Linked DNA regions of Lepisosteus oculatus. The protein of the gene in region 1 interacts with the protein of each later gene in a biochemical or structural test. Links are inferred from orthologs where the notes say so. Each region holds a gene or a part of one and is shown in the gene's direction. Other genes may lie near its edges. The genes, in order: tfap2a, cited2 and BTB/POZ domain-containing protein kctd15.

Region 1 (10,415 bases):
TTGATCCAGCGCAAGTGCAGAGCTTTATTTGGGTAAGAACGCTCTATGTGAACGCAGCGAATAATCTTCTTTTCAAATGATTATGATGCGAACTGCGATCCATCCCAGCAATTAGCACGTCCCAGTAAATCGTGTCCTGTGGAGATTCATTTTAAGAAACGAAAATCTCCCCAAACAACCCCACCATCTTATTCGGACCCCTTGAAAGTCCCCGTATTGCCTGCTGAAAAACTTCATCATCCCGCCCACACGATGAGCTGATGTACATTTTTGTCGATAAATCTTCTTATCAAATTGTTATCAACAACCCGATTTTTTACATTTTTCTCAACTTCCTAAGCAACAGGAGAAAGAACAACAAGCCATCTACTCCATTAAATGAAATAGTTTTTTTTTTGCCTAAAAGTGTTTCAAATTATAATGGCTTCGCGGGACGTCTGAGAAATTAAGACATTTATAAAGCCACCGATACTGTACAGTTTCGATTTCGTACAGGTTTTCAAAGCAATAGTTGTAACATCTAAGTTTCATCGAACAACGTCGAGTTCAAAGATTTCAAAGCCCGAAAGTGCAGAGTGTAGGTCTAGAGCCTATCATACTTTATATAAATGAACCTTTATGTAAAAAAAAAACAGTTTTGTTCTCTCGTTAATAAAGATTTAGTTAATACTAAATAATTCAGTATATGTGAAAACACGCCACCACACCACAAAACAAGATAATCGGTTTGAGATTCTTAGGGATAAAAAGCGCTATATGTATGTAATGAATTGTGGTCGTAATTATTGCATCCAAAAGTACTGAAATCGATGGAGAATCCAATCGAATATATCACCAAACTCTCTGGGAAGAGTATTTTTTAAACAAATACACTCAGCTTTAAGCCGCATTTTTTTCGGGTTATTAAAAAAAAGATCCAGCTGTTGAAGGAATAAACGGAAAAGGGAGAAAGCAGCCATTTGCCAAACCAAGTCGTAACTAAATAAAACCGCGAGCAGCAGGTATAACGCTGAAGAACAAAAAAAGCTTTGCACTTCTGTCGTGCGTGCCCTTGACAAACAAACACCACGCATGTGAATTAATTGGCCGAAATCCTCATTATTTGGGGAGAACGCGGTTTGGCCCTTTTTCTCGTACTACACTCTCCGACAGAACTGCGGAGTCTTCTAAGTGGGCAACATCTGCCTTTGCCCTGGTCCCGAAAGTGCAGTTGCGTTAAGGTGACCGGTTGTGGTTCAGAGACCTTGAGGCCGACGAGCTAGAAAGTTGGTTATATTTTCTCTAATACTTCGGGAGGGGAAAAGTGTTACATGGCCGGCGGACTGCGCATGCGCCACCCAGGTAGCACCCAACTTTTTTTTTTATGACCAGGTGAGATGTTTCCGTTCAGGTGAAAGCACAAATTGTCTTTGAGATCAGAGGTTCATGGAGATCCCACGCTGCGTGATCGCCACATAGAATAAGAAGGCTAAATAATGTCAGTAATGGCAAAAATGGGAGACTGGCAGGTAGGTGTTATTGCCTTTCGGATCACTTGGAGAATAGTTGCGCACAGGTGTAATACTGTCTGAATACATCAGCGCGTCAGCAAAATATTATATATATATACGATGACTATACTCTAAAACAACTGTCTTTTCTTCTTGATATCTTATAGCAATCTTTCAGTAACTTTCCATTTTTCGCTTTTTCCTGTTGGGGAGGCGGCAAGTCGTGACTCAGTGCAGCAGATACAAAGTTAATGATTTTTTTTTTAATTCAAAAGGATTGCGGATTGCGTATGTACTCGAATTCGTATGAACTTCTCTTGAATGTGCTCTGTTGGATGCTCGAGAAGGTGAAATGCTCTGTCTTCAGACACAGTATTATGATTTCACTAACAAAAACACTGGGATGTAAATTCACGTGTGGTCGGGACCAGTTAAAGCGCACTTTCAAAAATAAACCGAAACGTTTTAACCGTTTTCTGTCTAAATTTCCTTCTAAACCCCTTCATTTGCACACAAAGAAGTTAGCCTTCCGGCTGAAGTGAATTGGTCAAAAAGATTATGAAACCATGACAAGTACAGTAAAACAAATATTTAGTTTTAAACGTGCATGAATTTAATAGTATATATCTAAATTGTTGCCCAGTAATTGTAATGTAGGCCCGTTTCATGTGCAGTCACGCAAAATCATATTAATAAGGTACAACTATAGTCTCTTTGGTGGGCTGGTAATCTTTGTGATGAAAAGCAAACGTTTTCCGTTTTAATTTTGGGAAACAAAATAGCCAATAACGTGCTTACAAAAGGGTGAACAATGAGTTCTGGAGTTATATTTCTGTTTTTTTTTTTTAATTCAGATCTAAATTCAAATACATATGTCAAATACATCTTGAACGAGGTTTCGCAGTTCTAGCAGTATTATGAAACGGGGTCAGAAATGGAAGAAAATCGACACTTCAAGTTGAAAGTCGTGAACTGTGGAACATACAAGAAAAACTTTACATTCTAGTCTTCAAAATGCAAAAGAATACTAACTAAAACGCCGAAAACTCGTACTTTGAAATATGAAAATGGATTTGGGAATAGTGTCGAACGATACTGCTAGTTTTAATTTGTGAAGACAATCGGGCATGTCGGATAAAATGAATGTGCTTTTTAATTCAATATCTGTTTGCACCATACCTTGCATTTTAGGAGTTGGCATCACGGTGTGGCATGTAATGTTATGTACGGATCTATATATGTTTCTGCGGCTTTTGGCGGCTTTGTCCCATTCTCCGCCACATACACAGTTGATCACAGTCAGTCGTGGTTTATTTAAAACACTTGTTCGTGACAGTTTAATTTTAACTTAAAGATTAAAACAAGCCTTCTCCCACCCCCGCCCCTCTTCCAACACATGGTTACTTAATTGCGGCCTTACCACTGTAGTATTGTCATCCCTTCATTAATGACAACAGGTTTTGAAGTTTAGATACTGCTCCGCCAAAAATGGTAATAAAGATTATTAGGGTCAACGCCTTAGTCTTAACTACCTGTTTCTGCGTATACAACACAGGGTGTTGCTACAGATGCGTTTAGCTGAACCCGTGATTCGCAGTTCTGCTTTCAAATTTAGAACAATCCATTTTGTTGTGTAAATGATCTAAAAACAAAAAAAAACTTCAAATGTCTCGAAGTTAAAACTCCAACCCTATGTGTCGACTTTAACATAGTCTCCTTGTTTTGCATGACACTGAGAAAGTTGCTTCTTAATTCCTGACCCTCAATAGGACTAAAACAACTCTCTTGTCATTTAAAGAAGAGAAGAATATTCAGGCATGTAGTCTGAAAGGGGACAACATCTCGTGTTTTTGTTTCGCTCAGGCTGCTGTTGGCACACTCTCTGAAGAAAATAACGTGAAAAACGTCTTAAAAACCTTACATACGCGCACGATCATTGACTTTGGCTTCCCTGATCTCATGGGCGATGGTTCGAGTGTTTTAACTCTCATACTGATCAATGTATGCGTCTTAGAAAGGGCAAAGACCCCTTACTATATTTATCTTTCCGTACTTTAATTTGCTTTCGGCTGTTGTTTCTGAACGAACTCCCATAGATAACAAAAAAGGAAAAAGGAGAAATATGAACACTATATTCCATACTTAGAACTACGAAAAACTCGAAGTAAACCTATCATTTATGTTAAATATAAGCCTGTTTACCAATGTATAAGCATAGAAAATACCCCCCAATGAGAGATTCCGCTATTTTGTCTTTAAAATGCCTTCATCTTTATTAACGCGGATAGCATACAGATACAAATAGCTAAATATGTAGTCCAGAGCCTTTTTTTAAAAAAAAAAAGCAATTGTATAATTGGTGACGGAACAAACGAATCAAGATGCAGGGGGACTTTTTTTAACTTGATTGAATTCGATTTGAGAATCTTGCCCGAGTTCTACCTGTGTCCACTGGAGACGTCTGGGTGAGAATCGAGCTGTTGTTGATATGGTAATGACGGAACGCGGGTTATTATAGGACTGAAGCTTGGACTCTTAACATTGGCCATTAGAGGGAGATCTCTGAGCGCTGACAAGGAGCTCGAGTATCAAATAATTTCAGCTGTGCAGCAGCATTTACTTTGTGAAACAAGGAAAACCCCATCTTAACTCTTAATACAACCCATGAAAATGCTTTGGAAATTAACGGATAATATTAAATACGAAGACTGTGAGGTAAGAGGTCGTTTATTGTGATATATATATATATATTTCTTCATCCTTCCAAAAAACTGAGTACATTACGCTTGTATTATTGGCAGATAAGAAGAGTTCGTGTTTCTTGGCGTGTGTGTGTTTGTTTAACTGTGTTTGGCGTTTAGTTAGAAACTTCAAGGTTTCTTGTATAAAACACATTTTGGGGAAATTGTGTTCAAAACAAAATTAGATATCATAATCTTACTTCGCACGTATCCCGGCTTCTGTAAATGGAAAAAAAGATTGTGTATGTTTGCGGGTATATACTGTATATGCACACAACAGAAACAGACTATATATAAAGAAGCATTTATATTTTGGTTAAATGTGAAGCGTTATAAAACTATTAAAAATCCGTCTTGATCAAGAATGTGTTGTCATTACATTGATCATAACGTTCTCGTGTACACTGTGTTGAAGCAAATTAGTTGAATTTTATGTTTTATTTACAACTTTTAAACAAAACGAGTCTACAATTATTATTATCATTTTCAAGAGCTATTAAGAAGTGGTGTTTAATAACAACAAGAAATTAATTCTTGACTTCCACTCCGGCTTGAGTTTATGTCTGAATGTGTGATTTGAACGATCCCGAAGTTAAACACGAAGATTCACTGATTCGAAAAACAGTTCAAAAATAATTTAATTTCATCGTAAATTTCCGAATTCCCCAAACATTTGAAAAACGTATTTCAGTCATTTATATGGCATTTTCTCGGTCGAATAAAATGTTGCACGTTTTGCCTTATTTTTAAACACTCATGCGATTTTCTGTCGGGCATTTTGGTTTCTTTATATAATAAAAATTATGAAGAATAGCCATCTCAACTGAAACTGAAAATGTTTATTTAAACACAAAAGCTATTCCCATTTCCAAAGTCCATCTCGGCTGAATTAAATCCTATTTTGTTTCGTTTCCAGCGCAGGATTATCGCTGTAGTTTTAACGAGTGGCGTTTTTGTGTGAGCAGTAAGGTCTAAGTGACTGTTATTACAACCCTATTCAGTCAGCAGATACGGAAAGTTTAGTATGTAATATTTGGGAGTTGTTTAGGAGTTGTACAGCCAGTCAAACGGGTTTACGCTAGAGCCTAGAAGACGCGATACGCCAGGAGCTGGAAGAAACAAATGTTGGATGGTTTCACTTTTACCCAGCTTGGATTCTGTTTTTTTCTCTTTTTGTCGGGGAAATAGTTCGATCTTTTTTCGACGAAAAGCTGTGTAAACGGTGTTTTCAAAGGCAGACCTGTTTGTCGGACTGTGTTTTTCAAGTCGGTTCAAGCGTTTCTAGCGCGCAAGTAGGCTCGGAAGGGAGTGGACTTTTTTTTTTTTTGGCTGTTGTTGTTGTTGCAAAAGTGAGCCGAGACGAACGAGATCTGCGGAGCGTTTTTAAACTCCGAGCCTAAATCTGTAGCAGTGCCGGCGTGTTTGGTTTTCAACGCGGCTAGCCATGGATGAATCCATCAGTGAAGCCCGGAGAACAACAGGGCGCGGACCGTCTGAAGCTGATCTCAAAACCAAGGGGACAGAGAGCGCAGGCGGCCGCTCTCCAAGCACTAAAAATGTGCCAGTCGAGGTGCCCTTAGCATTTACCGGATTTTCGCAAGACTCAGAGGTGCTCATTGTTCCCTGCCTCTTCCTCTCTCCCTGTTTTCTCCCCTCATTCTGTATTTCTTTCACTTTTGCTTGCCCTCGAACCTTTTAAAATGTTCCCCCTTCTCTGTGATTCGTCAGACGCGAGAGAATGTCCCCTCTTTTTGTCTCTCTCCCTCTCTCTCCCCCTCTCTCTCTCTCTCCATCTCTGATTAGATACACTGATTCTTCATTCAATGGACGTCATTTAGTACAGACTCTGCCTTGAGTTGCTTCCTCGCTTCACGCTCGATTTCCGACCATTCTTCCCTTATTAAGTATTCGTGTAATATTAATAGTCATGAATATCTGCTATTAGGGATCCAAGAGAGGAACCAGATCTCTGCTAATATGAGCTCAAGTGAGGCAGCAGCTCAGTGATAGAGCGGGAAGACAGAAGAAGGATATAAGAAAACTTTAAATAATAATCTGCAGGGAAACAAAATACTGCATTTCTAACCCAAATGAAGGGCGGCAGGAATTTAACCAAATTCTGATGGATTATTGTGCTTCGGAGGTGCATATATGAACATTGGCGCTGTGATCTTGCAGTAGTGTTGATCTGGGCTTATTTTGTTTGTTCTATTTATTTTTACTGCTTTATCTCGTATTTTTCTGAAATTCTTACACCTTGAATTGTTCGAACCGCTTCGCAGATGTTAGTGCACAGTTTTTCAGCGATGGTGAGTTGCATTAAAGAATATATCCCAAGACTTCGTTTGGCATTTAGACTCCTTTTGTTGGCTCTTTTTTTTTAGAATTTAGCCTCGCTTTTTAAAAAAAAACTTTTGTATTATTGTGTTTTGTAATGAAACTGATTTTTTTTCTCCGAACGTCTTCACCGCATTTTAGCATTTACGAATGGTTGTAGAATTGTTTAGAAAACCGATCTATCGAAATTGTTACTTTTCTCATACAGTATTTGGCAGTTTCGAAGTGCCTCGTCCCCTTTGTAAAGAAAATACTTAAGATTTTTTTAGAAAAATATAGAAATATTATTTGCTTATTTGTAAAGTGCAATTTCGCACGCACTTCTGCTGATATTTGTTGCAATCTTTTTATTTGTATTATTATTATTATGATTATGATGATTATTTAGTGTAGTGTTGTTATGACTGTAACTACTACGCCTGGTAATAATAGTAATAAAATAGCAGAAAAACGCTGGGACCATAAAATCTATGCAAAGCCTATCTCATATTCAGGAGTGATCTGCCAATCGTGATATATAAATATTTTAGTGTTATATAGGGTATATATTCTAATATGGGGAAAAGAGAAATTTAAAGGTCTTTCATACACTATAACCAGCCCAAAATATCCAGCTTTTCAAAAATGTCAAAACAAATCAGGACGTTAGGCACCTGAAATCTGTCTTTCTCTATTTTCAGCCCCTCTCTCTCTCTCTTTTTTTCCTGCAATTTTATCAATTGACATTCGTTCCAGAAACGACCGTCGAGGTGTACTTTATCGCGCAAGAAAGAACAGGGAGGAAAGACAAAAACCCGCAAAAACGTGTTTCTAACCGCTGTCTCCTTCCAGGATCGTCACGACGGGACCGGCAATGGGACGGCGCGGCTACCCCAGCTGGGGAGCGTGGGTCAGTCGCCTTACACCAGCGCCCCGCCGCTCTCCCACACCCCCAACTCCGACTTCCAGCCTCCGTATTTCCCCCCACCGTACCAGCCGATCTACCCCCAGTCTCAGGACCCTTACTCGCACGTCAACGACCACTACTCCCTGAACCCACTGCACGCCCAGCCTCAGCCACAGCACCCGGGCTGGCCGGGGCAGAGACAGAGCCAGGAGAGCAGCCTGCTGCATCAGCACCGCGGGCTGCCCCATCAGCTGTGTAGAGAGTACCGGAGAGAAGTCCTCCTACCGGGGGGTCACGGACTAGATTCTGGACTGACGGACTCTATCCCCATCCACGGAATACCTCATTCTTTAGAAGACGTGCAGGTAAGACGGCCCCACGCCGCGGGAGTTTGACAGAACTCCCCGAGAGCAGAGCCAGAATATCTGCAGATATCAATCGCACCCGAATCGTTATCATTTTTTTTTTTGAGCTCCTATCCAGTCGCAGGTGGGCCAGCAGCGGTCTAGGATAGATCTGCTCTGCTTCTCGAAAGTCTTTTGAGACGCATCTCCTGCATCATCCTCTCTCGTGTTATCTCACTGTACAAATAAAAGGTGTGCAGGAAACGAGAAAAGGGGGAAACCTTATTTTACGACAAAACAAAAAAGCCTGTTTTGTTGGGTTTTTTTTGGGGGGATGCAGTCCATGCCGGCGTGAAACTATGAAATATTTTATTTGCACGAAATGTAGTTCCATTGTTGAAGTGGGAAAATAGATCCTCGCATCGACTTTTCATTTCTACAAAAAAGGTTCATAATAGAGATAGCCGCATTATAATAATTGTTCAGTCTTCTTTTAGGGTATTCTTCTTTTTCTATAAAAAAAATCTGTTAGGAAACATTGTATTCATAGTGCAAAAATGCGTTTATTTCTGGGGTCGGTTCGCTGTAATCTATATCCTGAACAAATACCGGTTAACATATCGCTGCTCTTATTCAGTATTTCGCCTTCCACTTCATTGCCGGAGTCTGGCAGAATTATCATCGTGTCCTCTTTGGAGGAAAAAAAAACAAACAAACGGGCATCAAGGATTTTTTTTTTGGGGTTTGAACGAATTGAAACCTGATGGTGTTTTGCATGTGACAATTTCGCGCTTCTGCCTTTTACCGGCGATCCTGCACACTGCTTTATTCTCAGTTGAATCTTGCTCGTTCAGGAGCACGCGATCTGCAGATGAGAGCAGAGGGCACAATGATATCAGTAATAAAACAACTTTGATCCGCCAGGACTGTGTGAGAGTAGTCACAAGGACCAGAGCAGAAATTCCGAGAAGAGTGAAGCGTAGAAACAGTTGTCTGTCACACATCACGAAATTACAGGCACATCCCGTTCCTGTGGAATGTAGGCTAAGCGCTACATCACAAGACTAAAAAAAAAATCATCAGATATTGGTAAATATGCTTACCAGTTTGTAAACACGGCTATTCAGAATATCCTTTGGCCATTTTAATTTTAAATTAAAAAAGGCGCAGCCCATTCTGATGAAAATGTATAAAATATGTACTTGGAAATGTCTTGATGTAGGTAAGGAAAAACTACTTGAAAACAACAGGAATTTTAGGGGATTTCAGATAATCTCATTTTTATTATCTTTTTTTTGTTTGTTTGTTTGGTGCTTTTATATCATTTTACTTTCCGGCTGCACTGAAACCAAGCTAGAGGAAACGACATTTCGTTGAATAAGACAGTTCATACCAGCAACTGCTGTTGAATTTCATTTTTGCCTCCTTGTTTCTTCTAACGTTGTTTTTCTTCTGTAATTATGTTGCAGCATGTTGAAGATCAAGGCATTAACATCCCAGACCAAACTGTAATTAAGAAAGGTAAGTAATTTCCTTCAAAATACCTTACATGTTTCTACAAGCTGTTGTACGCTGAGCGGCTGTGGTTTATTTGAGGCTTAGTGTTATAAAATACGGGCTACACGCAGAATGACAGAAGAAGCCGAAGGCGCGCTTGGGGTTTAATGCACTTTCAGCGTTTTGCTTTTTTTCTGAAGAAAGAAATTTGCATTTTCAGTGCTGAACTCATTGGCCAATGTTGGGAGAGACGCTTCAGCTGTGGCAAAAGTGCATTTCGTTCACTGTGGAATGATGTCCATCAGATACCATGTTGTGTGATACACTTAATGACGTAACGACACGTTCAATGTAATTTAGTTTTGTTCTCAGCTTGTTTGGATTTTGCTACCGTTTCGATAGTCTTTTGTCATAGGTCCTTATTGTTAATGGGGTGCCCACTTGTTTATTTTGTAAAGAAACAGGATTCTTGCTTAATGTACAGTAGGTTACTTTTTCTTAGCACACACGCTATTAATGTAGAATTACGTATATTCCACATCTTGAAGACTGAAAGTGCATCATGCGCAGATACTACAAGAGTTTTTCGGTGTGTTCATTTCTGTGTTTGTATGTGTGAATTCAGTCATTGTTCTTAACCCCTCTGTCAGCGTGGTATGATCAGGTTTAATGTTACATCTTTCTGCATGTGGAGCCTTTGTCAAGTCAAATTAGATGTGCAGGGGATAAATCTTAAGAGATGCTCTTTCCACGTCAACATGATAATTGGCTCTTATATTAGTAATCTCAAGAGTTCGTTTAACTCCTATTGTATCTATTAGCCTCCCCTGAGCTATTAATGTCACATGTGATCTATCCAAAACTGCTAGTCCCTTTGTCTTCGGTTACCCACTGAAAATCACAGTCCCTACAAATTAAAATAATAAAAAAGGTTGTCTCCTAAAACGAAGGGTGCATATGTTTAACATGTACTACAACTGCGATAGGCCTTTGGCTTTTTAAAGACTTCTTGTACTGCACAAATAACTGTGTAAACTCTAATAAACATAATCCTGTGTCCTGAGAAATAGTTTAGTCTATTTTGACCGATTAAATTGGTCATATAGGCCTTTAAGATTTT
Region 2 (10,763 bases), on another chromosome or scaffold:
TTGCTTTGGGGTCTGAAAAATTGGGAGTATTTTTATGTGGGAATCTGTCTAAATCATTGGAAGTTGCATTAATAGCCTCTGAAAACTATTATATAAGCTTTATTATAATCATTTTGTAAAACTAGGAATTTGGCAGCAAAGTAATTACATAAGATTCTATTATTATATAAGACATGAATTTTAACTGTAAATATTACAAATACAAACACTGTAATATTTACCGCTATAACTAACAAAATCCACCTTTCTTCTTGGGAAGATATTGATTCAATCTATCGATCAAAACTGAAACCCCAGTAGAATGATTGGAACCATGACTAAAGTAACTTAGATCATTCCATTATGACAGCCAATGTTTTGAGCCCAAATCACAGGAGTGAGTCTATGGAAGATAATAACCTCTGCATCAGTGTTCCTAGCAAAAAAGACACAAACGCTTTTTTCTTAGTGCTATTCCAAATACTTTTAATTGAGAGAAACAATGTTTAAGCATACTATAATCAAAATCAAAATTCATTGGACAACAATCAAATAAAAAAAAATATATGAAGAAACAAATATGGCAACTTTAGAACACCAGAAGTACATTAAATAATGATTACAGTATTCTATACATAAAAGGCATTGTGTAACAGTTCAGAACAAAAATTCCTTTCAAGCCTATTCACTTAACGTTCATATAAATAAGTTTAAAAAAGAAATGAATACAAAGAAAGATTTCCTACATTATTTGAAGCAGCATTGTATAGTCACTAAATGTCCTTGCTATTCGTTCTTCTTCCTTCAATGATTGCAAAAGGGCTACAAAACAATGTATTTCTTCTTCTCAGACTTTTTTCAACAGTGCCCATAACTTCTGCAATGCAACACGTTTCAGACCCTTAACATCCCTTTGTGTAAAAACTTTTCTCCTGTTCTCAGTCTTAAACACATATTTCCATTTATGCCCTTTGTTTTTTATTTCACTTCAAATGCTGTTGCATGGGTTTACTTTGTCATTAGAATAAGGGAACATGAGAAAGGTTACAAACAAGAGGCTGCTATTCGGCTTGTGGTATTTGTTACTAGTAGCTAACTGATGATTGTATAACAACTGTGAGGGCTTCCATTTGTATAGTACTTTTTATTCCAAAGAATCCCTAAGCCCTTGACATATAAGAAAGGACCCACAAGTGAAGTGCAGCTCTCACCTGGGTGACACATGGCAGCCATTTTGTGCTAGCAACCCCACTACATAGTGGTTTAGGTGGAGAAGTAAGAAATTTATTAGGGAAGATGTAGTAAAGTGACATAAAATGGAGCTGTATTACCAGTTGAATTAAGGGAGAATTTTAGGGAAGCCTGATTGTTCATGCGCAGAGCTCAATTTAACCAGGACACCAGGACTAACATACCTACTTTTAGGAAAAGTGTCATGGAACTGTACGTCCCAAGTAGTTAGGAGATTGCAATGTAATGCATCTTCTAAACAATGGCACCTCCTACTGGTCCACCCACACCACTTGCAGCTGCAACATGGTTTTCCTTAGAGGTCTTCCATCACAGCTAAGTGGTAAGAATGCTGCCTTCAAGTCAAAGTCAACAACCACAAACAGGTGTTTCACTCTTCTTATCAACACAAAACAGCATAACATTGTCAGATGCAGAATTTCATCCCACCATGTCAATATCTCCTTATTTTTCTTTTCACTTTTTAAAATTGCTACTTATAAATCAGATTGGTTGTGGTTTTATGCAAACAAAGTGAATTGAAACACCAACAAAAACACACCAAGAACAGGGAAAATCAAATGAATTTACTTCATCGCAGATACTCATTTTGTGCAATGTACAGCCACAATTTATTCTTTTCAATTTTCAACTCACCGGGGTTCCACAGACAATTCACAAATCGTTCCCTCTGAAACACTTTGACAACTTTCAGGCTTCTTCTTGCTAGCTTATTTCCACTTTCATTTTCACACAAAAAAAACTTTTTTCCGTCATTGTTGCTGAAAAGGATTTTACTAATGAGCTCAGGCAACAATAACTACTACATCTTTAATCACCATTACTACTAAACATATAAAGGATACAATAAAAATTAAAAATTATAAGGTTAATCAACAGCTTGATATACTGTAGGCTAATTAATTTTAGTGTTTCTATTTCTCTACATTTGTGTAACTCTTCTACACTTCCTTACAAGATTTTCATGCATTACACCTCTAATGGGCAGTTTCTCAAAGGGATACCAGCATACTTTACATCCAGATCCAGATCTTTTGCAAATTTGAGGTACTCTGCAACCACAGTTACTTTTTAATAAACTAGCAGCAGAAGAAAGCATAAGCATGTTACTGAAACCAAGTCAGTTTGTTATATATACACTTACATAAAGCTTTTCTGGACTCTCCACTCAAAGCACTTTACAGGTAATGGGAACTCCTCTCCATCACCACCCACCTGGATGATGCGATGGCAGGCAAACATCAGCTATCAGTGGGGAGGAGAGCAGAGTAATTAAGCCAATTAATCAATGGGGATTATTAGGAGGCCATGCCTGGTAAAGGCCAAGGGGAAATTTGGCCAGGACACAAGGGTAACACCCCTACTCTTTTCGAGAAACACCCTTAAATTTTTAACAAGTACAGAGAGTCAGGACCTCGGTTTTATGTGTCATTCGAATATGCCTTTTTATACAGCATATTGTCTGCTTCACCATACTAGGGCATTAGGACCCACACAGACCACAGAGTTAGCACTCCCTACTGGTCCTACTAACACCTTTTCCAGCAACAAATAAACTTAGCTTTTCCAGGGGGTCTCCCATTCAGGTACTGGCCAGGCTCACACCTGCCTAGCTTCAGTAGGTTGCCAGTTGTGAGTTTAAGGGTGATATACCTGCAAACTTGACTGCCTTGAACTGCGTATCCTGACTTAATTCCCCTTTGTTAAAATTGTATTATATTTTCCACACCTAAAAATATACTTAGAAGTTCAATAATTCATCTACTATGACCTTGCAGTGTGTAAATAAACCCCTAAACCACTCACTGCTATACATTGTTTATGAATCAGTGGTGGAAGCACCCCTCTTCAAATCTACGCTGTTGTGTGCTGGGGCAGCAGCAGCATCATGGCAAGAGATGAAAATAGACTCCATAAACTGGCTCAGCTTTGGCTGGCTCTACTTTGGGGCTGAGCCTTGACACGCTGGAGGTGGTGGCTGAGAGGAGAATGCTGACCAAGCTCACAGCCATCATGAACAACGGCTCTCATCCGCTACATGAGACTGTTAGTAGAAACAGCGGAGCACTTTTAGTAAAAGACTGCTCCAGCTATGGTGTTCAAGGGAACGTTTCCGTAGGTCCTTCCTCCCGGCGGCTTTCAAGGTGTATATCACTGCCCTAGCCTAGGGCTGTTAGCCCTTCATCTGCTCATCTATGGACAGCATGTTGCACTAATGTACTTTTTGGACACTGCATTAATATACTGTTTATGCTGTGGTACTTTCAATCTGTATATACCTACGCACATTTTGCACATATTTTATTGTTTTACAGTTACTATTAGCATATTTTGCACACACCTAAATCTATTTTATTTTGTATTACTGTACTTATTATAATTTGTAGTCTATTCTTATGACTGTTTTTGCTTGTCTTGGGCTGGGCTGCTGTAACACCTCAATTTCCCTTTAGGATCAATAAAGTCTGATCTATCTACTACAACTTCCAGATTTGAAATTTAATAACTTGTCTCTTGTGTCTAATAAAGCAGAATCTGGAGGTAAATTTGATTTTTTTTTATTTACCCTTTGAAAAAACATCTTTACGTTTTTATTTACATTTTAACCCATGTGACTAAAAGAGAGAATAACAAAATACATAAACTATAATTTATCTTCGGTAAAAGAATTACCAGATTATTCTTAATAGAAAATTCACTGCTCTCTACCAATTTGTGTACTATATTTTAATGCAAATCAGTAGCTACTAAAGCCTGTCTACCCCGGTACACCCCTCCCTCTCTCATACTGTCCAACTCAGCACTTGAGTGTTCAGAACATGCAGACACGCTGTTTGTTCTCCGCTGTGGGTACATTCCGCACCTCACGTCTGCAGGGGAAAACATTGTTAAAAGTGTTACTTAACCCTATCTTTTCAGTTCATAGGGTCAAGTAACACTTTTAACAATGTTTCTTTTTTTTAGAAGGATAAAATAATCGCCACAAATGTACCTCTTCAACATCTTCCAAATGAAAGCCAAAGGATCAGATTATTATTGATTAAGCTCAATGGGAGCCTCCACTAAAGTGAACCGTTATGTCTGAAATGTCCTGCAATTATTTTCGCGCTACTTACTGTACACGTGTTGTACCACTGTTAATCGTATGCTGTAGTGCAGTTATTTGCAAACGATTGATCGTTACAGTGATCAGTACACGTTTAGCCTTTACTGATGTTATTACCCTACTCTTGACGTGTTATCACGTACACATATTTTATGCCTTTAAGCAAGCCAATACGGGGTAAAAGGTCACAGAGGAAACCGTCCATAGGTGGGTTAGTAAAGTGCATTCCAGGATAATCAACTACCTTCCTGGAGGGTCAATAAGGTCCCCTTTCATCCGATTTGCCACTGTTGATTAAGGCGTAGAGTGTCTCTCCAAGGGATATAAGATGTACTTATTAATCACCGTCAACATTACCGCCACGAAATGGTGTATTAAAACAATGCGGGGGTCACCTAATAAACTGCTGAGTAAAGAATAAAATTTACAGTAAAAAGTTTACAGTGTAAGAGATAATCAGTGATAATAAATTCCATGCATGTTTTGGCTTTTTTTCCAGTGTAAGTCCTTCTTGCAGCCATCACTCTGTCTTAGCATTGTGATTTTAAATAGGTGTTCCCACAGTTAATGTATTTCCAAAGTGACTCGGTTAATCACAAGCCTGATCAGGCCTCGGCAAGCCCCATAGAGGGCATGTAAAGGGAAGCCGAGCTCGCACCCTGTGGACCAGCTACGGGAATATACTGGTGTAAGTCAGTAGCCACCTCTAGGGTGAAGCTGGGAGCATTTGTGAGAAGAAACGCCTATATTGCTCCAGCTCAGATGCCAAAGCTACGGGAGCTGAACACTGTCAACTCGAGAGAGCGCACGTCTGCAAAAGGAATAGGCTGCATACAAAACGCGGAGCTGAGAAATGTCCTGCAGAGAGGGTGTTAGTGAAGGGCTCTTTATAATGTTAAATTTGGCTCTCCTCAGTCGTGGCTCATGTCAGCTCAGTTATACTTGTGTTAATGTTGTTGACGATATGTTTTCTAACAGCTCAGCTCAGCCTTTCCGGTGCTTAGTGCTTTGTTTCAGATGTTCAAAGTGTGTACGTCTTCTTCGTTTGCATGTTGACCTCTTAAAATATATAGTAATCATGGCATATTAATACATTGTAGCGTGTAAATTTTCTACATAAATTTTTTGCACCTTTAAGCAATCGCTAGCATAATTTAGCAGAAACGCATTTGGCAGTTATCTTAATGTATGTTTTTTTTCCTGATTTGCATTTAATGAGTGAGTAAGGTATAAGTAACATTCTAGTAAAAATCAAATATCGATAAGAAAAACTTGGATTCAGTGTATTTTAATCAGTTGTGCCACTTTGCCTTTTTCACCATAAACAACAGAAATTAAGATGCCATTAGGTAATGTTGCTAAATAAACTCTGCTTAACGCAGTAGACAGAAGCGTGAGACTATTCCATGTTTTTACAGGATCCTGCATCCAGATTTTTCCCTCGTCAGTTTCAAGGTTTGCCGTGGCTCCGCCCCTGTATGATTGTATATCAGCAGTGACCACAGGCGATTTGAGCAATTCTCATTTGTTGGACAGAGGTTGGGAGCGTGTGTCTATATCTGAAAGCTTTGCTGGGCTCTATGACTTGGAATACAGATTCCGTGCAGTAACTGAAATCGGTGTACTTTATCATATCGTGCGGACAGTAAAACGGGGGAAACGAAGTAAAAAGGTACAGCCCTTGAGGTAAGAACTATACAGTTTCAAATCCCTGGGGTTATATTCTCAGTAAAAACTAGCTTAATAGAAGAGTTGTTTCGTGACTGTATCGTTTTTTGTTAAAAAATATCTGTAGGTAACTTACGTGCTTTTATATTTTTTGTGCACGTCTAATGATTGCAAATTATTTCCGTTTCTTTTTGCCCTTGTTAGCAAATGAGTTAAGGTTGGGTAAACAATTCTGACAGCGTGTCTTCAATTCGGAGTTGTTATTATTAAAGAATATATGGATTACACGAATGCCTGAAAGGCAGCACCTTCACATTAACCTCAAGACTATGCCAGTCTTTTATCAGAGCAATTCACATGTGCTGCGGAGTTAGGTTTAATGAGAATGACAGTGACAATGGGAACGAGTTGGAAGTTAATGTTGTGCATGTGACGAGAGTAGTCCTCGGATTTTGTGCATCATTTTAAAACTTCGCTTTTATGTGTCATAGAAGGAAGGAATGGCTGACCGCATGATGTCCATGAACCACGGAAGATTCAGCGAATCTGCAAACGGCATTCACCCTCACCATCCCACACGCAGGATGGCGATGGGACAGTTTTCTAACCCTCTTCACCATCAGCAGCAGCAGCAGCCGCCGCCGCAGCAGCAGCAGCATGGGTACAACGGGTTAATGGGTGAACATTTGCACTACGGAGGGGGAAATGTGAACTCTAACCACGGCGTTAGACACTCTATGGGACCCGGAAATGTGACTGGTGTCCACCCTAACAGCAGCCTGGCCCCTTCTGCACGATACAGCTCGCAATATGTGGGACCCGCCGTGAGCACTCAAGGACAGCTAGCAGCAAGCATGCAATTGCAAAAGCTCAACACGCAGTATTACACCCATCACCCTCACCCCTCTCATCATCACTATATGTCAGACCTACATTCGTCAAACCACCAGATGAACGGGACAGGACAGCAATTCAGAGACTGCAACCCAAAACATAGCACCTCCAGTATGCCTCCCCCAGCGCACCATGTGCCTGCAGCAATACTGCCCCCCAATGTCATAGACACGGATTTTATTGATGAGGAGGTCTTGATGTCTTTAGTCATAGAAATGGGATTGGACCGAATAAAGGAACTGCCAGAGCTGTGGCTGGGACAAAATGAGTTTGATTTCATGACAGACTTTGTTTGCAAACAGCAACCAAGCAGAGTGAGCTGTTAGTCTCACCATAAGGACTCGTCTTACTTTTGTTTTCCTCAGAAAGACATTTATACATTCCTTTTTAACATGATTTCTTTAACCTGTGTATCAAATGGCATCAGTCTGGAATTCCAATTAATCTAAATATTCAGGGTGGATTAAGAGTTCTGCTGAATTACGTATTTTTACTGATTTAAGCCTCTAAAATTTAGAGGTCTGTGCTATGGATCATCATTTCTTCCAAGGAGAGAGGTATGACTTGTGAGTGCACTACCATTGCAAGGGACTTTTCTGGTTTGTTTCCAAGTTCATGCTATGCATTATGAGTTAATTCAACTTTGTACTTGGAAAAATGAAGAAGGTAGCACAGAAGACCCAAAAGCAAGCGGGTAGCTTCGTAGTTAACTGCACAATTGCTTTGTGCAAAGAATAAACGAAATCTTAAAAAATGCTGTGGTAGGTCAAATATTTATTTTCCTGCGTTTGTTTAAACATTTTTATAGAGGTGTTAAAGTAATATAAATTTAAATGAAGCATATACTAAATTATGTGATTATTAAACATGCTTGTAGGCAGGTACTGTGTATTTGTTAAAGACAGTAATATACTGTACAATTTAGTGGCCATATATTTATCAGATATTTGTGCTGTTAAATGATCTGTCTGATTATCAAGGGAGAAAATTGCAAGATAATGCTTTTTGCACACAAACTAGTTTGCAAAATGTCCTGTTGCTTTGATGCTGAACTAGAATCACTGATGTCGGTGCCCTGAATTTTAATTTTTCAGTTCCTGAATTTCTGTGGAAGTTTAAATAATTTGAATTGCCAAATGTTAAGGTTAGAAGAGTCAGTGTAAAGCCTAAATGGATACTGTGTCTTTAAGGGAGTAAGAAGAGACTTGTCAGGCCATGGAAAAGGATACTCTTTCTTAAAAATGTGCCACCCTCCCCCACTCTTTTATGTGAAGAGACAATAAAATGATGTGGAATGTTGACAAGTTAAGGAAGAACATTTTACAGAGGTGTTTTTTTCCCTTTTTATTTTGCATCTTTGGTTATCAAAATTTCCACCACTGTGCTTATTTAGTTTATGCGGTACAAGGCAATACTACTGTGTTGAAGCTTTCTAGGAAAGTTTGACAGTATTTTTGTACAAATTTTTTTTAGAAGAAAATGTTAATTTATTATATTTTAATTTGCAAACATAAATAAAAGCAGATAAAATGTATTCTGAAAAGAAAATGTGTAATTGCGTTTTTTCATTTAGCTTTATAGGTTAAAATCCGCTGGTAAAGAATGATTTGGGCTGGTAGACTTACATTCAGGCAAAATACAAAAACAACATTTGTAATGAAATCCTTATTTTCTTTAACTTGGTAAAGAACACGCTATGGTAAACAAAATGCAATACAGTCCTTTGTTTGACTGTTGAGTATTGGACACAGTCTAATATCTTGCGCATTTCTTAAGTGGCATTTTCTTCAGGGTTTTCCATTGGACACTGTTCTGTACAGTTTCACAATATACAACAAATTTGAGGTACTTTTACACATAAACACCAATAAATTTACAACCTTTTGTACACATAATGTATAAGAACAAATTGTCCATGAGAAGTCAGTGGAAAATTGTTGAAGTTTGTAAAATGACTAACTTAACCCATCTGGATTGCCCATAAACATGTCCGAATGTATTGAGAAAGTCTTCCTTATTGACAAAGCGTGATGAACCATGAAGTTCAACAGATAATATGAATTACAAAGCAATAGCTTTCTTTAAAATTATGTCTTAATGGGTTCAAATAAACTATAAAAACAGAAATAAAATGTAGACATTCTGGCTGGCTGTAAAGAGTCATTTCTTTCTGTTACATTTAGCACATAAGCTAGAATTTTACTTTATATTTTATAATAAATCTTACTTTTTATAAGTACAACACAATGTGATGTAAGTTGTTCAATAGCGCAAAGACAAATATACACATTAGATCTAATAAGCTATAATTTTGTTGAAACCAATGCTTTAAACTCTACAGAATGTTTTATAGATTACTTTCCAAAACTACATCCTAATACAATTGTCATAAAGAGCATAGTGTGCTCTAGAATAGTCTCAAAATGTTCAGTTATCAAAGTTTACATTATAAACAACTTTATGAAAGCAATCCATAAAACAAAAACAGGTAAACACTTTTTTTCCCCCCCTGAATCAAGGTATGTGTTGATTTTCAGAAACAGCTATTATTTAACTGGGGTTTGAGTGTCTACATACAATACATAGATGAAACTATTTCTCTCTAAAGGTTTCTAATTTTAAAACACCGCAGTCAGTGAATTAATTTAATATTGTTACAATTTTATTATTATACACCAAATTTGTTCTGGAATACAAACAACTCAGTTTTCTACTGTCAGTTTAGATGCTGACTCACTAAATGGCAAAGAGTAGAGAATCTTGTTCTGCAGCATCAGAGTAGAAAAAGATGCAAATTGATTTGTTTTAGCAGTGTTTGTCTCCACAGGGATATTCCATCCTAACTACTTTGCATACATTTACGCAGTAAATGTGAAAAAGCACCCAATACAAAATAGCTATTCTTTCTGCTAATGGCTTCAGAACTCATGTGGAATTGTGGAACTTGAGTGCTGCTACTTAAGACAGGATAATTCTCCATTAGCCAGAGCTCAGACTAATGATTTTACACTGAACTAGGTTGTATTTTTTAGATAGTGCATACCAGCAAGAAATAGTAATGCTAAATAACACATACATCTTCTGCAATCTTTGTTCAAAGGTGTCATGAAACTGAGATAAGTATTATTGGTATTGAGTGTGCAAAAGAGTTGTCATCTGCTAAACATAAGTTGAAAATAAAACAGAACTGCAAAAGATATTAGATATTAAAGCTCATTATATCTTTAAATATTAAAGGTCTCATTAAAGTGGAGGTTTTGCACTTTGAGATCCACATACAGAGTTAATTTATAATGTGTTTTTATGTGTTTGTATTTGAAATATTCTGAATATCTTTTTAAAATGTGCTTTTAAATCAAATTAATATATTGATACAGGTAGGTAATACATTAATAATAGTTGTATCATTGTTTATGTTGAATGAAGTTATTTCCTCGTTTATTGTTACATCTAAAAAAAATCCAGTTTTGCATAAATCTGCAGAAAGAAGTTTGATAGAATTACATTCTGTGTTAAAATGAGCTTTTATCAGCAGCAGGAGTTTTGTGGATGGAGGCAATTGCATTTGATAAGGTGTTGGGTTTGCTGCTAAAATGATGTAGTCATGCTTAATTAACTTGGTGTTATGTTTAATTATTTAAAGAAAATAATTCCAACAATTTACTTTCTTGCAGATGTCATTTTATTGTAATGGGAAAGGTAGTAAACAACAAACAAATGTTGCTAATGTGAGAGCTGTGTAGGACAAGGGTAATATAAAATTTGACACTCATTAAATAAAATTTAAGCTTCAATCAACACTACCTAAAAGAACCTGCTTTTGAAGAACCAACCAGAAGCCTAGTAAGTGAATGCAGTGGAAACA
Region 3 (10,872 bases), on another chromosome or scaffold:
TGGTCACCTCACCTTTCCAGAGAAAAGGATTTGATCCAATAAAGCTCAAGGCTTGAGGCTTCCCACGGGAGCATTTAATGGAATCCTGGACAAGATACTGTACAGAAAATAGTGTCTGTAGCAAGTTATTTTTTTAAATATCCAGCAGAGGGAGGTCTTGTGTGACAAAGGTTATTTACAGATAAAGAAGGTAACAGGAATGAATTGATTAATGTCAAGGACTCTCTACCTCGGAACTGAAGTGTACTTACAATGAAGTTTCTTTGAGCACTTTAATTTGTGCACTTTTTTTTACCAGATGCTTTCAGATTGTAAAAGACCGAACACTTGATTTGGTTTGGTTTGGTTTATTCCAGGATACCCTGAACCTAAAAGAAGAAAATAAACAAAGACATAATTTAAAACCAAATCAAGACCCCTGCCCCTTGTGAGTCCTTTTATATCATAAACTAGTCTCAATTAATCCCATGTGAAAATGTGCATCTTGCCTCTTCACTAAGTATCTAATTAATCAATTAATAAACCACATATGTGAACCTGTATACCAGCAATACAGACCTTTACGCCATCTAGTGGCAGGTCCGCTAAAATTACTGTCCTAATTACTGCTGATCTGCCACAATGAATACCTAGATACCTAGCGTGAACCAATGAGCTTGTAGAGGGTACTTACAAAAAAGACAACAAAAAAGTGCTCATGTTGACATATCATTTCTATTTAATACAAGGTGGGGGAAATAATAAAAAGTAATCTAGTTAAAAGTGTAGAATTTAAATCAAGGGATCTTATGCCATAATTACACAGTGCACTAGTAAGACCTCATTCAAAATACTGTGAAAAAGTGTGGTCAACACATATTATGGGAAGGATATCACTGCTCTGAAATCTGTCCACAGGACAGCAACCAGATAAACCCGGGTTTTAGAAGAATATCCTACACTGACAGGCTAAAATAAAATGAGCATCAGAGCAGATGACAAGAAGATCCAGTTATTCAACGTCAACTCTGTGGGCTTCTTCAGAATCAGCAGTGGAATATGGACAAGTGGACTTGAGTGGAAACGATATGGACGTACATTTAAAACTGAGATCAGGGCAAGCTGAGATCCTTGGATTCATCATCTACTAAGATCCATACAGCTATATGTCATTAAGTGGTTTTTCAAGAGCTTCAGATCTTGGAAACAGGAGTTTGAACAGTCTGTGAAATCAGTCCAGTTGACTTTGTTGACTTGTATTTTAGTCACAGAGAGATGAAGTTTGAAATGTTTCCAAATTGGTCAAAAAAGGGTAGATGACTAGTTTCCCATGCTCTTGTTTCCCATATATGTATACTGTATGAAGAATGAATGCTTGAAGAACTATTATTTTTGAAGAATAAATGTTTTCTTCAGTTAACAACCATCTTCACCTCAAGGAGCCAGACAGTATGCCTCAGTGAGTGTTGAGATTTCACCAGAAAACTGAACGTCCTGAAAATGCACAGAAAGATTGTCTGTTGAACCTGTGGTTTAAAAACCAGTCCTTCGGGACTATGGTTCCTAGCTCTCTAGTTCAGATAGTTCAAGGCACACATTTAGAGTCTGAGATAATGGAATGTCCTTTTTCTTTGCAGGTTTGAGGCTCTCCGGGACCAGGGGTGGAGATACCTGTTATATTCTGATTTGGGCATGAAGGCATGGAGGTCCGTGCTGCTGCCTCACAGCCGTGCTACCCTCTGTGTGGAGTTTGCATGTTCTCTCAGTGATCACATGGCTTTCCCCAGGTGCTCTAGCTTCCTCCCCCCTGCCAGACACATGCTGGCCAGGCTGGCCGGTGTCTCCTAGTCGTCCCTGCATGCTCTGTGCAGGGTGTAGCTCCACCTCCTAGCTTGTCCAGTGCCGCATACAGTTCATAATTAGACAGATTGGATTGGTTAAATCTTTGCAGATACTTTCCCAGACTCTTTATAAAGCTTATACATAAAACTTAAAAAAGACTAATAACACAAGAAAGAAAAATGCGTACCGATCAAAATTCTGATGGTCTAGTAGTAATCTCACTATTTTGTTTTTGTGTAATCGCTAGCGATACCGTGGTTTAATATACATGTTTTGTTTTATTCATAACTTCTTTTAAGACGCCGGCTTATACATTTTGCCGTTATCTGAGGCTTAGGTTGATAATACAAACAATCAAGCACAACAACAACAACAACAACAACAAAAGGGCGCTGCTCAGAAAAGAGATGAAATGACGAAAATAGAACAGCACCGGCTTTCAGTCGCGTCCCATGACGCTTTTAGAATCGCTGTTAATGACACCTGCTTCGGAACCTTGGGGCAAACTTATTATTCTTATAGGGTCATACATTAATGCATACATCTCATTTGCATACATGTTCCCTCTAACAGGCCTCCCGAATGTTGATTGATTCTTTCTTCAGAGTGGCACCAGTGACTTTCTTTTAATGGAATAATAATCTAATATGTATTAGGAAGACAATTCTGTACTTTGATAGTGTTATCATCATCATCATCATCATCATAATCATCAACAACACGGTCATCAGTACTTATCCCATAATTTTAACTACAAATATGCCGTGTGTACGTCTCCGCGTAAAGACACTAACCTTACAAATGACCGTGGAAATATTTGCCGTTGGGATCGAAGTGTGTTTGGTCTGTTAATATTTGGAAGGCTACTCGAATGATTGCATTCAAAACGTTTATATATTTTAATAATCGTATCGGCTTGGTTCGCCTTCGTAAGGGATAGCCGACCTGACGAAAATACCTGGCTGAACGTGTTCTGAGGCCTTTGATTTCAACAAGGTGTAGTTAATAGCAGGCTTCTATTTATTTTTTTTAGAAACACTACAAAATTAAATAAGCTTACAGTTTAATATTCTCTTCGGATAAATATAATTAACACAACTAAATCTTTAAACAATTCCAACAAAACGCAACACAATCCGTCGTAAAATGTACGGTACGGCAATTGTGCTATTCTGCAGGTGCAAAAGACTACCCAAATTCTGTGGATATTTTTCGTTTTCTCATGAATATATCGTTTATTGATCAATAGTTATTAAGCATCTCACATAGTACGATAAATTACTTTGTAAAGTATTATAAAGGTATCATTTTGGAAAGAATTCACGAAAAATGATGATAACGCTGAACATTGCCCCGGGCTAAATTCTAGTAAAATGTGAATCTTACGAAAGTAAATTTCGTCTAGTTAAACTAACTTATTCTCTTTCCTGAAACAAATAACCCAATAGACACATTTCCAGTAGCCTATCTGACGAAGCTGTACTTGTCTTGGGTACGTTTCGGTTGACTCTAAGGTTTGTAGTAAATTGATCTAATACATAGATCACAGATTTCACTTGTGTTTCAAAATCTTGGGCTTACACAGTCTACATTCTTGATGCACAACTGGAATGTACAAATATTAGATTATGTGAAACCTATTCGTCTGCACTGTATATTTCAAAATATATATCTCTCAGCCTTTCCCCTCTGTTAAGTAAAACCCGCTCAGTGATCACCACGCAAAATTAGCAGAACAGCTGGTGTGCGGTTAACGTGTCACCAGCGTTCCTACCTGCGCTTGAAACTGGTCAAGAATACCCAATATTTGGTCTATGTTGCATGCAAATCTCTGGGCTGACCTACTTCTCCGTCTCCTCTTCACTTCAGACACTCAGCTAAAATCCATAAATTAAGGAAATTAACTGATGGGGCCCGGGGCAACTTTGTAAGCTATTTAAATCTTTAAATTTACAACATCTTCTGCATACTTCGTGTAATTGAACTAACTGCGGGGTTGTTACTTTAATGAGAATTTTTTTCCTGTCTTCCTTGTAGTTTGTACTCCAGAAGACACAACAAAATTTCGCCCCGAGGGGAAAAGGTTCCTTGCTCTATGCCAAGGAGTGGAGGGATGAGGGGATCCGGGAGTGCGCAGTTGTCTCGGGTGTATCTGGGATCGGAGGGTCGCTTTTTCCCCAATTTCCCACGTCTTGCCCTGTCCGGAAGAGTAAGAGGAAGGCGAATGCGAAGCGGGTGAAAGATGGTATCTGCCCGATGTGTTTCTTACTGCCCGTCTTTATCGGGGGAAAGGCGACTCTCGCACAGGGCGAAAGATCGATTTCAAAGCGCACTTCAAATTAATCCATCGCTACCTTCAGCTCTTAACCTTGATCTTCCTCTTTCTAGAGTGGCCGTGCGTCCTTTCGGACACTAGTAGGCGCCAGACATCAAGAAACAAACACCGAGAGCGGGAATGCAAGGGAAGGATTTGGGAATACTGTAATTATAAGGCTCAATGCAACATTCATTATTTAGAACTATTTACACGCAAATAAACAAACAGACAAATAAATAAATAAACAGCTAGCCTATGTAAGCACCTGTAAAGTGGAGAAGGGAGGGGGGGAACGATGAGATTTTTGTACAGTTCAGTGTTGTAGACAGCGCGTTAATAAATGTTCTCGTGTATTAAAAGGTTGATCTATTAGTGTTTCGTATTTAAACGCATTAGTGCATCGTTTGTGTGTGTGTCTGTGTGTTTCAATTTTACTTCAACAGAATGAATCTCAGGGTAGAAAATCTGGTTGCTCTTTGAGCTAGCAGCCTGCCTTTCTGCTCGCTTGTATAGGAAGTCTTCACGGCAGACATCTCCATCTAGCCGTGTGCTATAATTGAAATGGCGCGTTTCGCTGGAGGCAGGTTGTGAGGGCGCTTTTTGTAATAGCAGAATGCATGTCGATAGACGTCATTTGGTTTTAATGGCCTACAGGAAATTTGGCGTTACAATACGAGACATTAGCAAGCGAGAAAGGAAAGAAAAAACAGCCGCATGGAAACTGTTTATAGAGATCTGCATATTCAACATCAGCATTTCTTATATAGATACTTTATCAACAAGTTACACAGCGCTTCCATAATCGCTCTATAAGTGCAAGAGATGAGAGAAACGTGCCCTGCGTTACTTATTTGGGAACTGAAAATTTATGCCTAGTTGAAAATGCCTGGGGAAATATTACATCAGACGAAATGACAATGATTAAAATCTGCTTTTTTCTTCAGTAAGTCTATCGAGCGACGTGACAGTGGCCTGATACTTAACATTAAACCGTTATCCCCCAGCAAACCAGAACTTAAAAACCGTTATAAGGATTTATTTATTTATATTTTGGGGGAAAAGGAGGAAAAATACCAAATGACTCGGTCTAATCTTCACCGGCATCTTGGGGAAAGGAGGAAAAATATCAAATTTTCATCTTGAATTTAGCTAGGGCGCGAGTAGGGTTGAGCTAATTGTAGCCTAATCCTTGCCCCAGAGGCGTTTGGAAAGCCTAGAGCAAGAATTCTTTTTAGCTCTCCTCTGTTATTTAGAGACGGATTATATTGGCTTTCTTCTTCTCATAACAGCCCGGCAGTTTCATTTTAGCAAAAAGAAGGACAAGAAGCTAAAAAAATCGCAGCTGGGGCCAGCCGTCTGATATTAAAAGTCTAGAAATAAGAGCGGAAAAAAGGGAAGAAGAGATTTCGTCTATGTTCAAGGTAAGGACGCTGCTTGCTTCCTGTGTTGCTGTTTTCAAAGTGCCTGATCTCAACTAGTCTAGTCGACACTCTAGATCTTTAAAGCTACAGTGACCCTTTTTATAACAATGCATCAGAGCTACTTTCCTTGGTTTTTGGAGGTTTTTGGGGGCTTGTCTCTGCGAAAGAATGGGCATGAAACTCGAGGAATGCTGAAGTACTTAGTTTTATGAAACTTGGAGGAAATGTTACGGAAAGAGATAATACAGTTCTCCTGGTGGACGGATGAAATCTGGCTCGGAATTGCTTCGGACTTTCCTAAAACGTTTGAAACGGTACACACGGCTGAATAATGCACGTATAGAAAGCTCGGCTCCCTGTTTCACGGGGTGATCTGTTTTTAATTTATGAATCAAGGAGATGCATGTAGCTCACTCCCTGTCTGTATGCAATGTTAGCCAGGCGCCAGTGAGAATGAATTTTCGAACAGGCTGCTGAGGATCCTGGCTGGTAAATATCGTGTTGTGCATCCCGAACGAAACACCATGCCGAATCACCGACACGTCTGAATTTAAAGTAATATATATGGAATATGAAAACAGTATAATGTATATTTTCAAAAACGTTCCGTCGTATCAAAAACATCTTTTCTGATATGTTGGTATGTGAAAAAGACGCCATATTGTGAAATTGGCAGTATTCCCCCCTTGGGCACAAATGTATGTTCAGGGGTAATAAAATTGTGGAAGCCGTGTTTCGCTATTGTTTTAATTTTTGGTGGGCGAACATAAACTTTTACGTGTAATGTACGTTTTCCTCAAAGGTACGCAGCAGCACAGCTGGTCGAAAATAAAACTTCGATAAGCAGAAGCTCTTAATAATAAAGTCGATTTCTTTTCTGTTCTTATTATTTTAATACAACCTCCGCGTCGTAGAACCGCTCACGCAACGTGTGGTGTTTCTGTTCAAAAGTTAAGATCGATCAACACAAGCGGTTGTGTTGCAAAATCAAACTTTTAGGTGGCGTTTTTTTTTTTAAATCACGTTTCCTGAGCAGCCTACAGTCCTTAACGTGTTGCCTACAAAATTGACTTCGGCGGCCTCTCGTGTCAGTCATAAAAAGGCGATCATTTCTTTCATTACCGGTTACAGAGTGTCTGATGGTAAATAACCCGAGAATACTTCAAGCATTTAGTCAATGAGAAACCGATAATACAGACCGTCAGGGAACAGATGTTAGTGCTGATCTCATTAAAGACGAGTCAATGGTCCTTTTCGAGTTCGGATGTTTATTTTTGTCTGGGGACTCCTGAGAACACTTTAGACCGAGCGTGGAGATAAATAAATAATGTGTGTTCCAAAAGTGTGAGCAGGACTCTGCTTTATTTTCTCCGGTACACTCATTCGTGATTTATAGTTTACATCTAGGGCTGTTTAATAGCCTTATTTAGCCCCATTCATTTTTGAATTTTTCATCTTTTTTTTATCCATTTCGACCCCTCTGGCTGTCTTGCTCTATTTTCACCTAACCCTTCACCTCCTCAGCCCCTCCCTCCCTCCTCTCTCCGTCTTTCCTGTTTTTTTTCTCTCTCTCTCAGTTGGTGTGTGTGTGTATATACTTTTGTATCAGGCTTATTCCCCCAACATTAATATCAGTATTGGTTACCATGGCCCGTGGCTATATGAAGAGGTGGGATAGCTTCATACGCCCAAAAGTTCTTAAGTCTTTTGAAGTCTTTCTTTCACTGGGATGTGAAATGTATCATCCAGAGTGTGTATTAAATGAACAGTATTCCTGTAGGCTTCGTGTGTTGCGAGGCAGGCAACACCCTGGAAAATTCTGTAGTCTTTCTGCATTCTCTGCCCCGGGCATCTTGCCGTGGGCAAAAACGCTGAATGGAGCGCTAACAACAGCCTTCTGTTTACCTTTTATGGTTAAAATAACAGCCTAGCAAATGAGCGGCTTCACGGAGGAACGATTCGGTGAAATCACTCTCAAGCTGCGGTAACATAGCTCGTTTAATCACCTCTCCAAAACTGAACAACTGCGAGCACAATAGGGAAGAAAATGATTTTGTGCGCAAATGAGCGTCGCATCCCGAGACGTTAATTTCAGCGCAACATGGGTAATAGTTCTGACAACACTCTCGATATGCGCAATTAGCGCGTTAAGACCTTGGCCATCTGATTTGGGGAACCCCCCACAAAAAAATAAAATAAAGCGTGTATTAAAGGTAAAGTATTACCCGAAACGACCTATCCACACGTGGAGGGGGCGAGGGCTGCGCAAAGTTCTGACTGACGTGAGGAAAAAAGACGATACTGGGGGGTAACGCGTTCTTCAACGCGATGTATTAAAAACAAAACATCAGTAGAAAAGTTTCCGTGTGGACGTGAAACATGTTATCAACGCGTTAAAAGGGGCGCTAAGAAAAGAGCCATTTTGATCGCCCTTCCCCGTGTAGTCAGTGAAGCAGCTGGTGACTCCTCATCTGGGGTGAAGTCCCGTGTGTGATGGTGTCAGGCTCCAAGAAGCGCACAGGGGGGTGTTGCGACTGGCGCTCGGTTCACGCACCGGGTCAGACTGACAGACGTTAGAGGTGACGGATATTTACACGACATTGTCACGCCGCCCAGCGCATCTTCGATATAAAAGTGGGGACGACTATATCCGTATTCTGTGATATTTCGTTATTCGTTTATAACTCGCGGGGCAAAAAGTGATTCAAGTTTTGCCCAGAGTCGATGAAAGGTTATCGACCTGCGCTGCGGCTTTTCTCGTCCTGCTGCATCTTTCAACCTGCTTTCCGAGCCGAGCTGTGCAGGACAGGCTGACGCGAACCTCGTACCTCGCTTTCCTTAAACTCTCGTTTCAATTAACCCCCACCAGTCGCAGTTCATTTCTTATGTAGCACAGCAAACGTTTTCCTTTGCAGAAGAACTGAACTACAGGCGTTAAACGTATGTTTGACTTGCTAGCAAACCACAAGCCAGTGTGCTGAGAATGAGATATAGGCTAATTAAAATGGCATTTTGACAGTGTGGCCATATCTGAAACAGCGTAGACTTTGGTTCATCAATGCAATAGGGAGCACGTGGATAATCTATTTCATGTACAGCTGAACTTTTCTGAGTATTTAGCAATGAAAAGAAACATCTTTCAGGGATCTTTTGCCTAGTAGATTCAACATGCGAAGAGAGACATCTTCGTCATTCATTAATATATTTTATTATTAATGCTTATTTTTTCCTTGAATTATTGCGTTGTCTGCTAATTTCAGGTTACTGCTATTTTTGAAGAATTGGTTCCTAATCGAGTTTTAAGAAATGACATATCTTGGTCAACATTTGCTTTTTAAAAATATTTTGGGACATTTTGTGAGACAAACACCATTATTGAGTCCGCCTTTGGAGATAAGGAAGTCGTTAATTTCGAGGTGTCTAGTTACTGAGACAAACTTGCAAAAAGCCCCCGAATCCCAATTCACAAATTGGTTATTCGTTTGTCAGGGGATATTTCACGTCTAACACATAAGCCCACGACCTTTAATTAGAATTTTGCAGTTTGTTTTATCTCCCTGGAGGCTGACACCTAGCATTTTTCTTTCTTGATCGCTAATAAGCAACCTTCCATTCTTCCCTCCGGTAATCCGAGGAAAAGGATGCAAATACACTTAATTAGAGTTGTGGCAATAATTTGTAAGCTAAATATGCGATCAGGCAGATGTAGAAGTGATCTGATAAGAGCCAAGATCGCACTTGCTCTAAAGGTACGAGATACTGTCATTCTCGAAACGCGCCTCATTAATCTCTTTGCTTTCTCTCCCCCCCCAACACCCCTCCCCTCTTCCCTTTTTTGAACATTGGCTTGTACACAGGAAGGACGAAGCATGTCACGCTTGTCTTTGACCCGGTCTCCAGTGTCTCCTCTGGCCGCTCAGGGAATCCCGTTACCGGCTCAGCTGACGAAAGCGAACGCCCCGGTTCACATCGATGTTGGAGGACACATGTATACGAGCAGTCTGGCAACTCTCACCAAATACCCGGACTCTAGGTAAGACTCTGCTTCTCTCCTCTGATTCCCCTACCGCTCTGGTCTGCGGGAATGACGTATTTAAATGCATGGTCATCGTCAGCCTATCTATGGATCTGCTGTAGCTGGTATTATCCCTGTGACAGTTCATACAACGTTTCTTCTCGGGAACCTTAAGCTTCATTTATAGGCAGTTATCTTCACGCGAGTGCCTTTTGCTGGTGTTGCTCTTCTTTATTTTCAGTGTGCTGATAAAAGTACCCATATCAGCACATTACTAACTCAAAATAGCTGGGGTTGCATGAATCTGTTCTATAATAAAGTGGACTCATAGGCCTACCTTTATTGTCCGTAAAGGCGTCAACAATAATTTGCGTTTTCAAGTTAAGCGTCTGAGACAAGAAAGGTCCGACTTTCACTGTCGCAACTTGTCAAACGTATTAAGATCACCTTATAACGCGCCATCCCTTTATCCTTCAGCTTCCAAAATGATAGTTTACCCTCTTACTGTTAATCTACTTTAGTACACGTTCTGCTTATTTTCATCCACAATGTTTTGTGTAGAAGTACACTTTTTCACCACTTAAAATATAAAGTGAAAGAGCACAAGAAACAATCATCACCATTTGACGGAAAACGGGTGATTAAATCAGATGAGTGATTTACATACAGTATGTTGACGTTTGCCTGTGTTCTCTTCAGGAGTTCGGAGCGCTTGACTCACACTTGAACGAGATTCCTCAGTTATCACAAATTGAATAGGCGTAAGAAAGCAATACCGGGTGGCTAGCTAAAGAAAATGCATGGAGAAGTTTAAGAAAATGAGTCAATCAAATAGTTCTTTAAGGGTAACCATGTTTAAGATAACCGTGAATAGTATAATTAAAGAACAAGCAGCTCTATATGTCTTAAGCAATAATCGTATTTTCTATTCGTGTGAAGCCCTAAATACTGTAAATGTCATGGGATTTGTACGCGTCAGTTCCTAGAACTGAAGGAAGACCAAACTCTGCACTACTGTATTTTAGAAAGTTGTCGAGGTGATGTTCTTATTTTAGAACCTCATTACTAATAGTGTGTATCGCATATGGGCAGGAGCAAGCGAACCATTTAATCGAGCGTCTGCAATAATATTATCGACATAAACGTCTCCTGTAGAGCTATCTGTAAGTATTTTCCTTCTCTGACGTGAAGATTATTAAAATCATTTTTAAAGAATAGACACTGATTTGATATGTGTACTGTTTAACAGTGTATACAGTATATATCAATGAAATATATTGTATCTATTGAAGAATAGG

Evidence for each region.
Region 2: the proteins of tfap2a (region 1) and cited2 form a complex in vitro, tested with the Homo sapiens proteins (2 studies listed by BioGRID, with this or other methods). The link is inferred for Lepisosteus oculatus from reciprocal best matches to the Homo sapiens genes TFAP2A and CITED2.
Region 3: the proteins of tfap2a (region 1) and BTB/POZ domain-containing protein kctd15 form a complex in vitro, tested with the Homo sapiens proteins (2 studies listed by BioGRID, with this or other methods). The link is inferred for Lepisosteus oculatus from reciprocal best matches to the Homo sapiens genes TFAP2A and KCTD15.

What each region holds. Positions count from the first base shown.
Region 1 is NC_090701.1:3,958,039-3,968,453, reverse strand, and holds the start of tfap2a (transcription factor AP-2-alpha), read left to right. Parts: upstream 1-5,290; 5' UTR 5,291-5,675; coding exon 5,676-5,840; intron 5,841-5,882; exon of another isoform or gene 5,883-6,513; coding exon of another isoform or gene 6,514-6,540; intron 6,541-7,399; coding exon 7,400-7,819; intron 7,820-9,267; coding exon 9,268-9,319; intron 9,320-10,415.
Region 2 is NC_090697.1:20,217,281-20,228,043, forward strand, and holds cited2 (cbp/p300-interacting transactivator 2), read left to right. Parts: upstream 1-5,709; 5' UTR 5,710-6,022; intron 6,023-6,495; exon of another isoform or gene 6,496-6,498; 5' UTR 6,499-6,504; coding exon 6,505-7,224; 3' UTR 7,225-9,043; downstream 9,044-10,763. UniProt on the Homo sapiens protein: Transcriptional coactivator of the p300/CBP-mediated transcription complex. Acts as a bridge, linking TFAP2 transcription factors and the p300/CBP transcriptional coactivator complex in order to stimulate TFAP2-mediated transcriptional activation.
Region 3 is NC_090715.1:15,300,534-15,311,405, reverse strand, and holds the start of BTB/POZ domain-containing protein kctd15, read left to right. Parts: upstream 1-5,618; 5' UTR 5,619-5,783; coding exon 5,784-5,873; intron 5,874-9,416; coding exon 9,417-9,592; intron 9,593-10,872. UniProt on the Homo sapiens protein: During embryonic development, it is involved in neural crest formation. Inhibits AP2 transcriptional activity by interaction with its activation domain.